Astyanax mexicanus: one gene and its partner. The protein of the gene in region 2 interacts with the protein of the main gene of each other region in a biochemical or structural test. Links are inferred from orthologs where the notes say so. Each region holds a gene or a part of one and is shown on either strand. Other genes may lie near its edges.

What was found.
Region 1: the proteins of eea1 (region 2) and rab31 form a complex in vitro, tested with the Homo sapiens proteins (2 studies listed by BioGRID). The link is inferred for Astyanax mexicanus from reciprocal best matches to the Homo sapiens genes EEA1 and RAB31.

The regions. Positions count from the first base shown.
Region 1 is NC_064411.1:46,539,837-46,547,789, forward strand, and holds the start of rab31 (ras-related protein Rab-31), read left to right. Parts: upstream 1-4,941; 5' UTR 4,942-5,147; coding exon 5,148-5,183; intron 5,184-7,953. Other genes in the region: ralbp1 (ralA-binding protein 1), read left to right, coding at 47-379. UniProt on the Homo sapiens protein: The small GTPases Rab are key regulators of intracellular membrane trafficking, from the formation of transport vesicles to their fusion with membranes.
Region 2 is NC_064416.1:21,084,805-21,092,707, forward strand, and holds the start of eea1 (early endosome antigen 1), read left to right. Parts: upstream 1-4,900; 5' UTR 4,901-5,056; coding exon 5,057-5,080; intron 5,081-7,903. Other genes in the region: nudt4a (nudix (nucleoside diphosphate linked moiety X)-type motif 4a), read left to right, coding at 691-899. UniProt on the Homo sapiens protein: Binds phospholipid vesicles containing phosphatidylinositol 3-phosphate and participates in endosomal trafficking.

The DNA.
Region 1 (7,953 bases), on a different chromosome or scaffold from region 2:
TATTATTATTATTATTATTATTATTACTTGTAATTTCCTTCTGCAGAACAAGAACACCCACCTGAACCAGGCCATCCACGAAGAGCAGGAAGCCATCCTGGAACTGCGCGTCCAGCTCCGCCTCCTCCAGAGCCAGAAGCTTCAGCAGGAGCTCACAGCTCCTCCCACAGCAGAGCAGGCCCCTCCTGTACAGCCCAGCCCTGAAGAGCGATCCAGGGTGGAAGAGCCAATTAAACGCAGCGCACCCGCTGCCATAACAGCCCCGGGAGATGCCACAGCAACTCCTTCTGCAGCTCCAGCCAATGGGAAGCCTGGAAAGGACACTTTAAAACCTTCACCTAGTAAAACGTACACCGCCAGTCAGAATCCACCACTGTAATTTAAATGCCCCACTGGGTTCTCTTCCTTTTTCCTGTATGTCGTGTGACATTAGCCTCTAGCATCACCTGCAGGCGTCTGCTGAGAGTTCAGTGAAGCTGAACTGAATTTTCGGGACCACAAACTTTAGAAGCTTTAGGAAGGCAAGTCATTGGATCAAGTTATTGATCAGTCAACCAATGGCAGGTGAGCAGGGGTGCCTTTTTTTGTTTGTTTGTTTGTTTTTTCTTTTGTTTTTGGGAGAGAGAGGTCATAGTGCCCTAAAGGACCTTTTTTAATCCTAAAAAGAAGCCAAAAGGAAGTTTCTTTACAATGAGATCTCCCTGTGTTTAATGTCTTAAAACCGTGGTCTTCAGCTCTGCCCCTGTATAGCTGTAATCTTATCTTATGCTCCTTTTCAGCTATGTCGGAAGTCAGATGTTGATATTTGAATTTAAACATTAAGATAATTGTACACCAAATCACTTTGGAGTTTAATACAACTGGCTTGACAATCATTTACTGGTGTGAAAATTATAGTGAAAATTTGTCCAAGCCAAAATATGTCCCAGGTTAGCATTGTTAGCATAGATTATACAGTATTTTGCACATGTCTACTGATATTAGTGGGACAGTAGTGAGTGCACAATTGAGTTAGTGAGACAAAATTGATAAAGAAGTGGTAATAAACTGTACACTATTATTCCATTATCTTTCCTAAATTTCCGGGTAGGAAATCTAACTTTTGGGGCTGTTACAGTTCAAATTTACTGCTTTAACTGCTTTAAATTACAAGATGCGAGTTTAAATGTAATAAAGCATAAGGCGCCGATACTATGACCCAAAGATCTGAGGTTTGAACCACTTGTCATTCTGCTTGAGCCTGAAAGAGCTCTCCTGACTTTTTTGAAATTCTTTAGAAATTCCTACTTTAAAATGGACAATTTTGATATTTGAGACGTCCAAATGGAACACCGCTTAAATCCTGCCTTTAAAAGTCCTTAAACTAGCTTGGTGGGTCTCCAGGAGGAGAACAGAAGACCACTGTCTTAAGACAGCTAAGGATTTCCATTATGCTTCAAATAATAAATAATTATGTGAATGTATTTTAAACGAAAAGTTAACTCTCCTCATTGAGGTACACTCCTAAAAATAAAGTTACTACAAGTGGTTCTTTTAATTAATGCCACAGAAACAAACAAACAAAAAAAACTTATAATTTAACTTTTAAAAATCACATCTCTACTTAGAACCATGTTTGTAACAAAGCCAAGCAAAGTGGTTCTATTCTATGACATCAATCTAAGAAACGGTGAAAAATCTTTGTTTTTAGGAGTGTATTGACTTAAAAAGAGGATTTTTGTGGAGAATAGTGGTCCCAATATGCTCTTATTCAAGTGAACAGAAGAGGTGTGTGTGTATGCATGTGTGTGTGTGCGTGAGAACCAGATTAAGATATGAAACCACTGTGCCATATGTGAGTGAATGCAACCATACTGAAGTTTTTCATTGAAGAAACTGTTGAGACAAAGACGTTAAGATGCTATATTGCTATATTATATATTTAGGGAAATAAATGACAGAGGGTAATTTGTAGTAATTAATTATGATTAATTAAGTATGCCATTTATTTGGTTTTATATGAATATATGCAAAGGTATACAAATCTACAAGTCCTCAAATAGAAGCAAGCGAATAGAACCAATTTAAGCATGATTTCTATTTATTTTATTTTATTATTATATTGGAGTAAAAAAAAAAATCAAACATATCAAATTTGCCATAATCTTAATAAATGCCACATTATTATGTTTTCCTGCTAATCTTTCTTTTAATGTTTAGTCAATGGCCAATACAGATCTGTGTAAACTGTGTAAAACTCATTCTACACTTTAAGACCCCGTTTACACCTGATTACTTCATATTGAGTCTTGAGTATCAGGATTATATCTGGATTAGGTCAAATTGAGTGTAAACAAATACAAATCTGATCACTCAAACCACTTCAGGGGGTGATCTGAGACTCATCAGAGCCACATGTTATAGCAGTGTAAACACATCTGTCTCTCCAAGACAAATTCTACAACCAAAACTCCTCCCACTAGAACCGAACCAGTAATGATTGCCATGCCATGAACAAATTTGCATATTCCATCCAACAGTCTGTCACAGCCAATCAAATTTCAGTATGACTAATCGAATACACATATACATCTACCAAGTGTAAACATGTGGCTAAAATCTAATCAGAATTCAATCCAGATACTTGTCACATCATGTAACCAGGTGTAAACGGGGTCTTAGTCATGATAAAGCACAAAAAGAGTATTTTTGATGGACGATAGAAAGCTTTATGTTTTGACTGAGAAAGATTAAGGTGAATCGTGGTTACACTGTAGGGCTGTGGTGTTTATATAAATATATTACACCTAACAACATGCATAGACATGTTTTTGTTCATTAAATGAATATAGATAGATTGATATATGGCAATTAACTCCAGTTTGTTACCAGTGCATTAACCATGGTCACGACATTATCAGAATAATCTACGGGATGAGTACAACAACAACCCTGTTTGTCTGAAGTCATTGTTTAGTTATGAAATTAATTATGAAGTTGTTTAAATAAATAATATTACTTATTTTGTGATTGTTTAGGGGGAAACTCCCCCAAAACATGTTCTCCTGGCACACTGAGAATGGTGTCTTTTTCTCTAAACGCTACTTCTGCTTAAGCTTTCTTTATCTGTGTCTTTTTTTTCTCACTTTCTTTTCCATCAGTTGAGAAGTTCTCTATATCTGCAGTTCTGAATACTGTTAACTGTTTTCCTTTGTACTCCATTGTGTGTGGATAAGCTTCTTTTCTAAAATGACTGATTGCAAAGACAAATCTACTCTCTCTAAAATTATTTTTCATGCTTGTTCATGTTTTGTCTGTTGTTTTTTTGTAGCTCTTTGTCCTTGCTAGAAGAATGATGCTGTACTAAGTAATAAAGTGTCTGGAAATCAAGTTTAATATGAATAGTGTCTAATGGATTAAGAATGTATAGCGATTATTGCATTAAATAGCAGAATGAGTACAGCGGATGCTGGTATCTTGAGTTTAAATGATGTCTGATTTCTGTGTATACAGCATTTCTGTCTGAATAAGACCTTGTTTGTATAAAACAGTAACTTTAAAGGTCAAAGAAAAGACATTGTTCAGTTTCAGATGAAGTTAATTTAATATTATTTTATCCCAATTTTAGACCATTAGTGGTGGTCCATTTATCATTGCTCGTTGTAAAAAGCAGCCAGATTTCCATAATCACGGTATGTAACCCCCACGGTTGTTTTAATTATTTTTCTCAATATATTAGTAATCAGATGACATGGTGGCGCTACAGGTAATGCATGTCTGAAAACCTGTATTCCCCTCTTACACCCAATAATTCCAGGTGGGCTGTGGACCTGCTGCAACCCAGACCAGGTAGTAGCGAATATGAAGATGTTCAAATTATATATGATATATGATAATGTTGTTATACAGAAGAGCTAGTATTAAGACCTAGTGCTTGCCTCATTTTCCTCTTAGTGTGAACAAATTTATTATTTTGATTTGACTCTTTTGGATGAATCCATGAAACCAATAGAAAAAGAGAATCATCCCGTGTTGTGTTTTTCTAGTCAGATGTTTGTATCTTTTAATTATTTATAAGATCAAGCAGGAAAATTGAAAACTTCTGGAATATAATCAAGAGGAAGATGGATGATCACAAGTCATCAAACCAAACTGAACTGCTTGATTTTTTACACCAGGATTAAAGGCATAAAGTTATTCAAAGGCAGTGTGTAAGACTGGTGGAAGAGAACATACATGATAACTGTGATTAAAAACAGGGTTATTCCACCAAATATTGATTTCTGAACTCTTAAAACTTTAAAAAATATGAACTTGCTTTCTTTGCATTATTTGAGGTCTGAAAGCTCTGCATAATTTTTTGTTATTTCAGCTTGTTTTCATTTTCATTCTGCAAATAAATGCTCTAAATGATAATATTTTTTATTTGGAATTTGGGAGAAATGTTGTCTGTAGTTTATAGAATAAAACAACAATGTTCATTTTACTCAAACATAAACCTATAAATAGTAAAATCAGAGAAACTGATTCAGAAACTGAAGTAGTCTCTTCATTTTTTCGAGAGCTGTATTGATATTTTAAAGTCACTGAAATATGAATCTAGCTAACTAACTCAACCGAATCTCTTGAAAATTGAAAAAACGAAAAATCTTCACTGAATCGGTTCGCTGAGTTGACTCATCATTTCAGTAGTTACAGATTTATGAATAGAGAGTGAATAGAGTGAATAGAGAGTGGCTCAGCCAGCCACATATAATGTGTGTATATTGAACTGAATCGAATAATAAATAACTAAATAAAATTATTTAAAAATGGTGCCCTCTTTAGTTTTTTTTTTTTTACTAAAAATAAAAAACGGAAAATCTTCAATGAATCGTTTTGAGCGAATCGGTTCGCTGAACTGAATCTTTTTTTCTCAGTTCGGACTTCCGCAGAGATCGACACGGAGCGTCACGTGACCCGGGGGACAGCGCCGCGGTGGTGTCGTGTTGCGGCGGCGGCGGCTGGGTGTTCCGTTAGCGGGCTGTGTTCCGTTAAGAGTCGGGAGGTGGTGCGCGGAGGTTTATTAGAGGAAAGGCCGCTGTGAGGAGGATCTGATACCGGAGATCCAGCGGACAGCGCGCGGGGATGGTGAGGATGATCATGCTGGAGCTGCTGTAGGAGGAGAAATGGCCATCAGGGAGCTGAAAGTGTGTCTCCTCGGGGTAAGTTCACAAATTCCCCAACTCTCCTCAGCATTCCTCCGCCTGTCTGCGGTCCGGATCCTCACACACCCGGTGATCCGTCCAGTTCTGCTACCCATCGATATGTGCTTCTTATCCGCACTACGCATGCGCTTACACACATTTTCCACTGTTTTTTGTTAGTTTTTCAAGATATTAGAGATAATTCTGTCATTCTGTTTTCCTCCGATGCTTTAAACGTTTCTATCTGTTATTATTTTCTCACGTGTTACAAATCTTTCAGGCAGTTAATAAACAAAAAAAACACAAAATAAACATTTAAAAAATACCTTAACTTTAACTTTACTAATGATACACTTATTTAGCCCTTTCAAATATCCTGGCTACCTTGTGTGGATCATAAAAGCTAGCCATAACATGTTTTGGAACCTCAATAAGTTAAAGTTAAATTTACTCAGATTTTTTTAATAAACTTTAAAAGTTGAATTTATCTTTATTTATTTTTATTTATCAGTTTGAGTTCTAACAATGCTTGTGATGTAATTAAATGTGCATATAAAAAAAACGGATTTTTTTCAGATAAAAAAAACCTGTTTGATATTTTGTTATATTTTGTATAAAAAAATAGTTTTTATTTCATAATTTTGAATCAGTTTGAGTAGAATTTGTGTTTTTTTAATCTAAAAATCAGATTTAAAAAAATATATATTTACTTTAAAATGTATTGCACCATTATGTTACATTATACCAGCTCACAAGTTCTAAAAACAAAAACAATGTGAACTACAAATCATATTTATAAATTTATAAATATATTTAATTTTGAACATTAAAAATTTTGACTTAAATACTTATATCATAGAACCTCTATAATCTGGACTCGTTCCTGGAGAGTGTTATCTATAATGTGCGGCTTTTTTGTATTTATCTTTAAATACACAGTAGGGTAGCACGGTTTGACAGGGTAGCAGAACTCGGCAGAACACCGGCGACTGAGAGCCAGAACCGTGCTGTGGACCGAGCACCGGTTCAGTTCGGGCTGTTTAACCCCGTTAGCTTAGCATAAGATCTTCTGTCTAAACTGTAGAGCTGCAGCTGCTGGTTCTGAGAGGTTCTGCTGGCAGTGACTGGGTCAGGACTCGGTTCTGCTGTAACTGTGGGTTTGGGTTCTGACTGTTGGGCCTATTTTAAGCTCAGTTTTGGCCTCGTATTGTTGTTTTGTGGGAGTAACAATGGGATTAGGGTTTTAAAGCAGATACATTAGACTTCAGAAGAGTTTATTTAAACTAAAATAGTATGTATAGAAAATCCAGAGCAAATTATAGCTGAGCAGCCATTACGTCATGGTCCAGCTTAAAGCAGACAACAAACCAGCAGAAGGAGCAGCAGCTCTTTTGACATGGGCCTGAGGTCAGTTTAGGCCTAAGAGCTGGATCTTAAAGAACCTACAGGCAGAAAAAAGTCAATAGAGTACAAAAAAGAGTAGCTAAAAGTCAAACTAGAAAGGGTTAAGTTGGGGAAAAACACTAATAACATTGAAAAAGGTTTATAAAAAGCTGTAAAAGTCAAGCTATATAACTTTATATCCATTAGAAGCTACCTTAAATCCAGTGTTATCTTTTTTTCACTGCCACCTTACATCCTTAAATAGTAGCAAAGCTATTTAAATGCTGCAGCTGAGCTTTACATTTGTAAATAATTGTTAATCTGGTGTATACGGATGACTGTAGAATGTTGTAAGGCAGGTCACACAATGCAATGTCACAAGATTTATTTCAACGGATTGAAATATTGCATTAATCACATCCCAAAGATTCTCAATGATGATGATCTCATGCTCCCTGAATCACTGTTTCAAAAATCCAGCCCCATGAATCCTGACATTGTCATCTTGGAATATGCTCATATCATCAGGGAAGAACAAATCCATTGATGGAATAACCTGGTCTATATTCAGTATATTCAGGTAGTCAGCTGACCTCATTCTTTCAGCACATACTGTTGCTGAACCTAAACCTGCAGACCAACTGCAGCATCAACCCCACATCATTTACTTACTTAAATCCAGGTGGAGACTTTTTTTTTTGTCCATGCAGTGTATACTGCTGTTGAAGTAGCGCTGGACGATATGGGCAAAATTTATACGACGATATATTCCTTAATTTCGGTCGATACGATATAATTTAGATATCGATATTAATACCTTGAAAGCCTCTGAAAAACTACTCCTGCAATGGAAATCTGTACCTACTACTGTCTGAAAATTTTATTTAAGTCTTTGAAGCCTCTTTTCTGAGTTTAATAGAGCTATTTCTAGTTCTAGTTATTTCTCATCATTTCAACACCTGGTTTGGTAAATTGGTAAATGTGGTAAATCAGGTGAGCTGCTGACGGAACTGAACATATACACATGCTGGCTATGTTTTTATAAATTGCTGCCCTGATTACATAAACCGTTCCCTCAATTTTTTTAATTGTTCCCTCAATTTAATAACCCATTTTCTTAATTTCCCATTTCCCTAAATTCCCTTGATTTAATAATTAATTCCCTAATTTTAGTAAATCATCACCTTAATTGCATTAACCTTTTTATCCTTGATTTGATACACTATTCCTTTCCTTAAACAATCAGGCCAGTAATCTTAAAATCAGTGTCATATTAAATCACTTCACTCAGCATCTGTCAGTACAGCAACTGAAGTGTGTTATCTTATTGAAGATCTTTTGTCTTTCTAAAATAAAAGTCATAAGTGTGACCAATCACAAAGCAGTGCAGCTGCTGTTGCCAGGG
Region 2 (7,903 bases):
AATGTAGTTGGTATTGGAATGTGGGGAACTAGTCAGAAGCAGGTAGCATAAGCTGGACAGTTGGCAGCTAGTGCTCTGTGCTGGGTAATGGGAAAAACTTATCAGTCCCGTTAGTATTCGACTAGACAGATGAACTATCGGAAAGGTAAAGAGATTAAATTAGTTCTTACTGGTTCTATGAAGTACAGTGAATATGATCAGATTATCAAAGTGTGGCTAACAATTATGTCAGATCTGACTATAACAGCTACCTAAAAGAAAACAGCCAGAAGGTAACATAGACATTATAGCACCCTAAAACATTGACATCCAGACATCCATCCACTCCACTGTCCACAAACCTCAGGATGCCCTTAATGACATTTGTTAAGCAATATATAATATACATCAAGGAATGTAATTTTTACTTTCTTTTTTATGATAATTCGCATTGATTTATTTAACACAGAATTTATTTATTCAAAAGAATGACACAATTGTAAGGCTTACAACAGATTATGTTAAAATTAAAAACAAATTAAAAATGGGATATAAAGCTTAGGTTACAGGAACTGAAAAATATAATTTCACTGTGTTTACACATATATAACTACATTCCAACAAGAACTCAACATGTGCACATTCATATGTCATTAAAATCTCTTGTGTGTTGAAGTGTAAAATATTTCTGCACTGTTTTTTTTCCCTTAGGTCGTAAAAGAAAGTGGTTTAAGATTGACGAGGCTATCCGGGTGCTGCAGTGCCACAAGCCAGTCCACGCGGAATACCTCCGCAGACTCACCCCTCGCTGTGGCCCCACCAATGGCAACAGTCAGGAGCCCACAGCCCTGGACAACAACGCCCCCCTCCACCAAAGCACCTCACAGGACTGCACAGGTCTGCCCCGCTTACACAGATAGAACTGCCAACAGGGGGCAGCTGTGCACCACACACAGGAATTTCTCTTTGGACTGGAAAAAGACTCTTTTTGCATGTATTGTTTCCATGTTTACTATTTGAGAAATGTTTTTTAAATCGTTGAGAAATCAGAGGAGAGCCTGCCTCTGACTTTTGCCTCAAGCTTGTAGTGTGTATAGATTTTCATTTTTCTGCAAGACAGTTTGACACAGCCAAACAAGAGGATGTTGGAATTGAGCTGAAAGTGAAAGCTACAGTGACACTGGTGGACATTTCGGATCGTGATCTGTGGATGGAATTACGAAGAGGTAAAGAGAAAGAGCTGAGATGACTGCTGGATTTATAGTGTTATTTATTCATGGTTTGAGTGGTGGTTTAAAAAAATGAATCTTTAGATAAGAACAGGATAATAAAGATGTGCAAAAAAATACTTGATGTACAAATTCACAACCAAATTGCCAAAAAATGATTTTTTTTTTAAGCTATTTTCTTCCGAAAAATTCTGAAAGTTCATTATTATTTGACTGAGCTTGGTGCCTTTAAAAGCAGTCAACACTCTTACGCATCCTCAAGTTCACTGGGATGTGCCTCTGATTGCTTTAGAAGACTTTAGTGCTATTTTTTGCCTATGTTCTAAATCTAAAATGCTGTAAGTTGTTTTCACGGGTTGATCTTAAATGTGAACTCAACCTATTAAACAGCTGTTTATTAACTGCTTTCTGTGTGTCCCAACAATCTTGAAACCTATTTAATGCTGGCGACTGTGCCTCAACTTTTGTTGTTATTGTTTATAAATATCTTCTCAACAGCCCTGGATCATTGAATGGTAAAAGACAATTGAGGCAAGAAAGCTTTTGATCTTCAAATTCTTTAAGTATTGTCATTATGCTTATCCACTTGTACAGTATAATACAATGATCTCTGCATATTCCAGCTGGGAAAACTAGGATCAGAGTGAAGGGCCTTTCCTACAGTAGCATTTGAGTGAACCTGGGTCTAGAACCAGTAACCCAGCATTCTGGTGACTGAGCCACCAATGCAGTCAGTTAAGGCAATGACTGAACATTAAATTGGGTCCCTGCCTGGGTTATTTGGCTCTTTGCTGTGGTGGGAAATATGTTTAATGTGGTTATTGTGAATGAAAATGCAACCAAGGCAACCAAAATATATTATTTCCAAGCTGCTAACCTTGGGTTAAACAATGAACATTTGTATTAACATTTTACCTGAAACTGCCAAAAACTGCCATATGTCATTTCCACCTTTCATTTTGCTAATGACCTTAATAAATGAAAACTACTACTCTCTACATGATACACCTGTGATTGACATTTACCTAGAATTCACATTGTATTTCTAATAAATGATAATGAAATATAAAGACATTGATGACTTCAATTGCAAAATGTTCATTTATACTCTATACAATTATTGGCAGTTTTTAGTAAAATATGTTTTTTTTTCTAGTTAGGGGGTGTCCTGCCCATTATATGTTGTGACTACAGCCATGATTATTAGTCCTACAAATGACTGAAGACAAATTTCACCAATCATGTCTTCACTAATGCATTGGATTTTGATTTTGTCTTCACTGGTTTTTATTGGATAAATAAATGCTGTATATGCACTTGTGGTTGAGAAAGAAAGGATATATGATGTAGATACCAATGTATGCAGTCTTTGTATGCAATATTCAGGCTACAGATGTTATACGAAAAATCTATGGTCATCTGTGTTTGAGGAAGATTAGGTCAAATTAGGTCCTTCAGTTTGGGCAATAAGTGCCCAAAAAACACCTTACTAATAATTCAAATGTCTGGTAGACCTCTTATTAATATTCTGAAAATAATACATTAGCACTAACATTAATACAGTGGAACTTTTTTGTTGTTGTTCCAGATAAAAGGTGGGTCCCGATAAAACCACTTTGAAGAGCCGTAACAGTAGTTACACTACAACTGGTAGACTACAGTCACACAGGTAGCTATGACTTCCAGAAAGCCCAGAAGAAGAGGTTTTTTTTCTCATGAATTCTGTTCCACCCACTGGTTAATTCCTCTTTCAGTTCCTGATTATGCTGCTGGTTAAACTGATGTATTTAGCTCTTCAATTCTGTTCTTAAAGTCAGAACAAAACAGAAGAGGAGCAAGTTGGATTAAATCTAAACAGATTTCCATTCATCTACGTCTCTGTTTCTTCGTGATACCTGGAATAATCACTAGGTAAGAGGCAAGGATACCTCCAGGACCAGATGCCAGTGCAACACAGGGTACTACCTACTCATTCATTCACACTCAAGTTGGTGGCAATTTGACTACAATTTGTGTTTTTGATAGTTGCAAATGGAAATGTAACAACTGTGTGGCAACAAGTCAGATTCGATTTAATATTTTTACATTTATTCGAAAATTACTTAATTGTGAAACTGCAACGACATGCGAATGCCATGATAATTCCAGACTTTACATATTGTCTGACAAGTTGGGTATAGGCTAACAAATCTACACTGAAGCCACTTGATATTTAAACACACTCTTGAGTGTGTTTGCCCACTCTTGGTATTTTAATCTTAGTGGCTTCATGAGGTAGAGTCACCTGAAATAGTTTTCTCAGCGTCTTGAAGGAGTTCCTGGGGGTCCTGAATAATAGTTGCTGCTTTTTTCTTCGTGCTGTGAAGCTTCAGCTCATCCCAAATCAGCTCAAATCACCATCTCAGCTGATACGGTTTAGGTCACATGATACTAAATAATGTGTCCCTAATTTTCATGTCTTTGATTTTAATCTACAAAATAAATAAATGTAAAATAAAATATAAAAAGAAATATAAAATAATAAATAATAAAATAAATAAAAAATAAAATAAATAATACAATTAAATAATACAAATATATATATAGAAAAAAAACATTGGATGAGAGAATGTGTCCAAACTGTTGGGATTTGAAATTGAATGGCAGTTCCTCCTCACTGTCTGAAATGCTTTTCTGGGGGAGAAATCTTTGTGTTTGTGTCCTTAATGTTCAAAGCTGTTTTACACCACAAAATAAGCTTTTTGGTTAGAGGATAAATTCTGGTACTTCATATTTGCGGTCTTGTAAAGCAGGCCTCGCTGTTTCTCCATTTCTCCCTGTAATAAATAACTGGAATTGAATGCTGTCAACAACTGGATCAATTTTACTGTTGCTTCAGAAGAGTCCACCTCCTCCTCCATACGACCCGGTAGGTGGTGGACATGTGTGGTCTGGCAAGAGTGGAAAATACCATCGTGTGTGATGAGCAGAAGTGGGTAACCCTGGGACCTGGGTTACCCACCTCTAGTAATGAGTGACTACAGATGAATGTGCTTCTATTGGAGGGAGGATTGGATTTTAGAAATAGGCAAATCAATAGTTATCAAATAATAACCGCTGAACTTTGTGTAACATTGTTCATTGTGTTCATTATGTTTGTGCAGAACCAAGCTAATTTATTTTGTACATTAGTATGTCCCTCTAAAACGGTTGCAATTTCTCATGTGGCCTCTTGGGAAAATGAATTGCCCACCCCTGGTCTAAAATGGTCAGTGTAACATTTATTAGTTTAATTTTCTGACTGTACCAAGCTTAAATAAAAAATAAGGTATAAAACTTCATATTTTTTCCATTTTGTTTAGTGAAGAGTTAATTCACTAAAGTCATTATTTAGTTTTTTTTTATTTCAGCCTTACACAAACATAATTTCGAGAAAAAAATAAAAGTTTTATCTTCTCTTGATAATCATATTTGCCCATTTTTGTGTCTTGTAACACAAAGCTGATGTTATAATCCAACTTGGATGAAAAAGTATTTCTTGTACACTGCACGACATAAAAAATGTTTTTATTTCCAATTTTCTAATTTTGCATTTTTTTCTCAAACGGTCAGAAAATTAAGCTGCTAAATGTTACACTGACCTGAAATATCAGTTTTTAACCGAAATCCTGCCTGAGTGCCGAGTCCCTCCTCCCTCCTCCACGCAGCTCCGCAGACCCGCCTACCCACTCATGTGCTGCTGGTTGACGCTGCGGTGCGCTGCGCTCCGGGCAGGTGGAAGGAAACACCCGAGAATAACATTATACACCAGCGGAGAAAGACCTCCTGACTCGTGACAGTTTAAACTACAGAAAAACAACGAAACCAAAATGTTCAGACGAATATTACAGATGGTAAGAATAAAGGAGAATCCTGCAACGAGGCTGCATCAGTAGCTATGGCTTTAGTATGTTTAGCTAGCTGGCTAAGCTAGGCTAGTTTTGCTAACGTAGCGGCCGTCAGTGGAGGCTTGAATGGAGGCCTGTATTAAAAAGGCAGTAAGAAATAGCTAAGCTAGCTAAGCAGGGGTGTGTCTATTAAACTGCTATTTTAAAACATATATAGTAGGTCAGTAGCTAAATGTAGCTGCCAGACAGGGCAAAACAACGCAAAATTGCTTGTTTACTGTTATGTACTGCCCTGTAAACAGTACGTTAGCTAGCTAACTTACTAGATAGCTAGCAGGCTAGGCTAGCTAGCTTTAGCCTAGTAACTGTGACTAGCCGTGGTGCCGAAAGGCTAGTAACGCTAGCTCAAGCTATAAAGCTGTCATGGGCTCATTCTGAAAGGTTTCAACTAAATAATGTTAAGTTCACCCAGTTTATTAGTCGTGGGAGTAATATTAGTTGTTGAATTAATGAGAGAGAAGTTTGTTTCGTTGTTGTCAAGTGTTTTTCATTTATTCCAGGGGCTTGTGTAATGGTTTACTGCATTCTGTTGAATGTTGGCCACTTTCTGTTTCTGTCTGTGACTGACCAGCTTCTTCACTGTAGATTATCTAGGTTAACTACTAATGCATCTAAAAAAAATGTTATCATTCATTGAAAAGTTACATAACTACTTTAGTAATTCAGTGCAAATGGTGAAAATCATATATTATATAGATTTATTACACACACACACACACACTGATCTATTTTAAGTCTTTATTTGTTTTTTTGTTTATGATTATGGCTTATAGCTAATGAAAACCAAAAAATCAGTTTATGAGAATATTGAAATATTATCTATATAAGACCAGTTGGTACTATTGGCAAGCTTAGCAATGTGCCAAGTCCTACTGAAAAATGAAATCCACATCTCCATAAAGTTGTCAGTAAAGGGAAGCATGAAGTGCTGTAAGATTGTCCGGGAAAATACTGCACTTTTTTTGTACTTGATATAACACAGTGGACCAAGACCAGCAGATTTTCCCAGTAATTCTTGCAGCACTTCATGCTTTCCTCTACTCACAACTTTATTTAGATGCGGGATTCATTTTCCAGCAGAATTTAGCAAGATGTCCACACTACCAAAAGTACCGGTTGGTCTTATATTATATTCTTCTTTACTAAGACACTGATTTTTGGGTTTTCATTGCCTGTATGGCATAATAATCAAACATAAAAGAAATTCATGTTTATAATTTAAACAGCTTTTAAATCTTATGGCAGAAGTAATCGTTGACTTATTTAAAAAAATAAATAATCAGATTAGTCAACTACCAAAATAATCAGTAATTGCAGCCCTACTTGACTGGTCCTTTTAAGAAAAATGCAGTAGGAGATGGGTATCCGTGTGCTAAGACTTGTTTGTCTCATTGCTGGATTGGGAAGGATAAGGGTGGACCAGTATTTGGACACATTCTACTGTCATTCTATTAGAAGACTTTTTTTATTAGACATGTTGTAAAAGCAAGTTTACAGTGTTAATACAAGCAAGGAAGAGCCAAATTGTCTTAAGCACATCTTTATTGTGACAGAACACTTTAAGGGGCAATTTTACCAGATAGAAATTAAGCCTAGTTTTGGACTATGCAGCATTTGAACTGAGATTTTCCATTGAAAGGAAACCTTGTCTCTGTCAGGGAAAACAGCCTAAGTGTCTGTCCCTTGTCTCTATGTTAAAGTAATGTCTGAGGGGAGAAAGGCTACTGGCTGCTGTTAGTACAAAAGTATATTCATTACTCCTAAAATGTGTCCCGACTATTATATAATTAAGTATAGTTACAGAATGTATTTATTATTAGGTTTATTAGGTTTTAATAGCCATCTAAATAAACATTGGCTCAGACAACAGGAGATCTCTCTTGATGCCACAGCCATCTGTAGCCAAGAGTTCCGAGCACAAGAGTACAGTTGGCCTAGGATGGCCCTCTCCCACTACATCACTTGGGGAGATGTTTCGTCCCACAAGCCCATTCAGCTGTCCAGTTTTGGAAAGATAGTTGGAAAAGGAACGGTTGACTGGCACATGCTTGCCTTCTGGTTGCATTAGGAGATGGTGTTAGAAGTTACTACGTGAGCGAGAGAACTGGGGCATTACAATAATCTGAAGCCCTTTTGGAATGACTCATTTCCCTGGAAAACCAGTGGGCAAGTGTTGCATTGTTATTTTAATACAACTTACTCTTACTGCACTGACTTTGATTTAGCCTACTTGGAAAAGTGAGTGACATGCCATGTGGTGTCGTGTAATATTGTTTGAATCACCAGTGGCTGCTGTTTTCCGGTTGCTAGGGTCAGTGTTTGGTGAGGAGAAATGTATAACGCTTCTCTTAAGCAGTATTATGTTTCAAGTATATCCTCAAATGTCCCTAATCAACAGCCATGCCAAGTGCAACCATAAAGGGCACAATGCTGTCACACTATTTTTTTAAAGTTCACCTTCCGCGAAAATCCGATTTTTCTTGTTTTTTGTGGAATACAGTAGGTCTCTCCGAGTTGAATGTGTACACCTGCACATTAAACTGTTTTGCAGCCCCCATTGTCTGCAGGAGCTAAGCAAAGAAATCCCCCCTCCCCCCCTCCGAAAAACGGGTGAATTTTGAATTATCTTTCTGCCTACGTAGGCAGAAACTCACAGACCAGCCCACCTTGGCTCGAGAAACTCCCAGAGGCGGAGCTGAAGCGACGCAACATCACCGCTCATCAGTTAGGAGGTGGGAGGCAGTGAGCGGCAGAGCGGTGGAGGGGCGT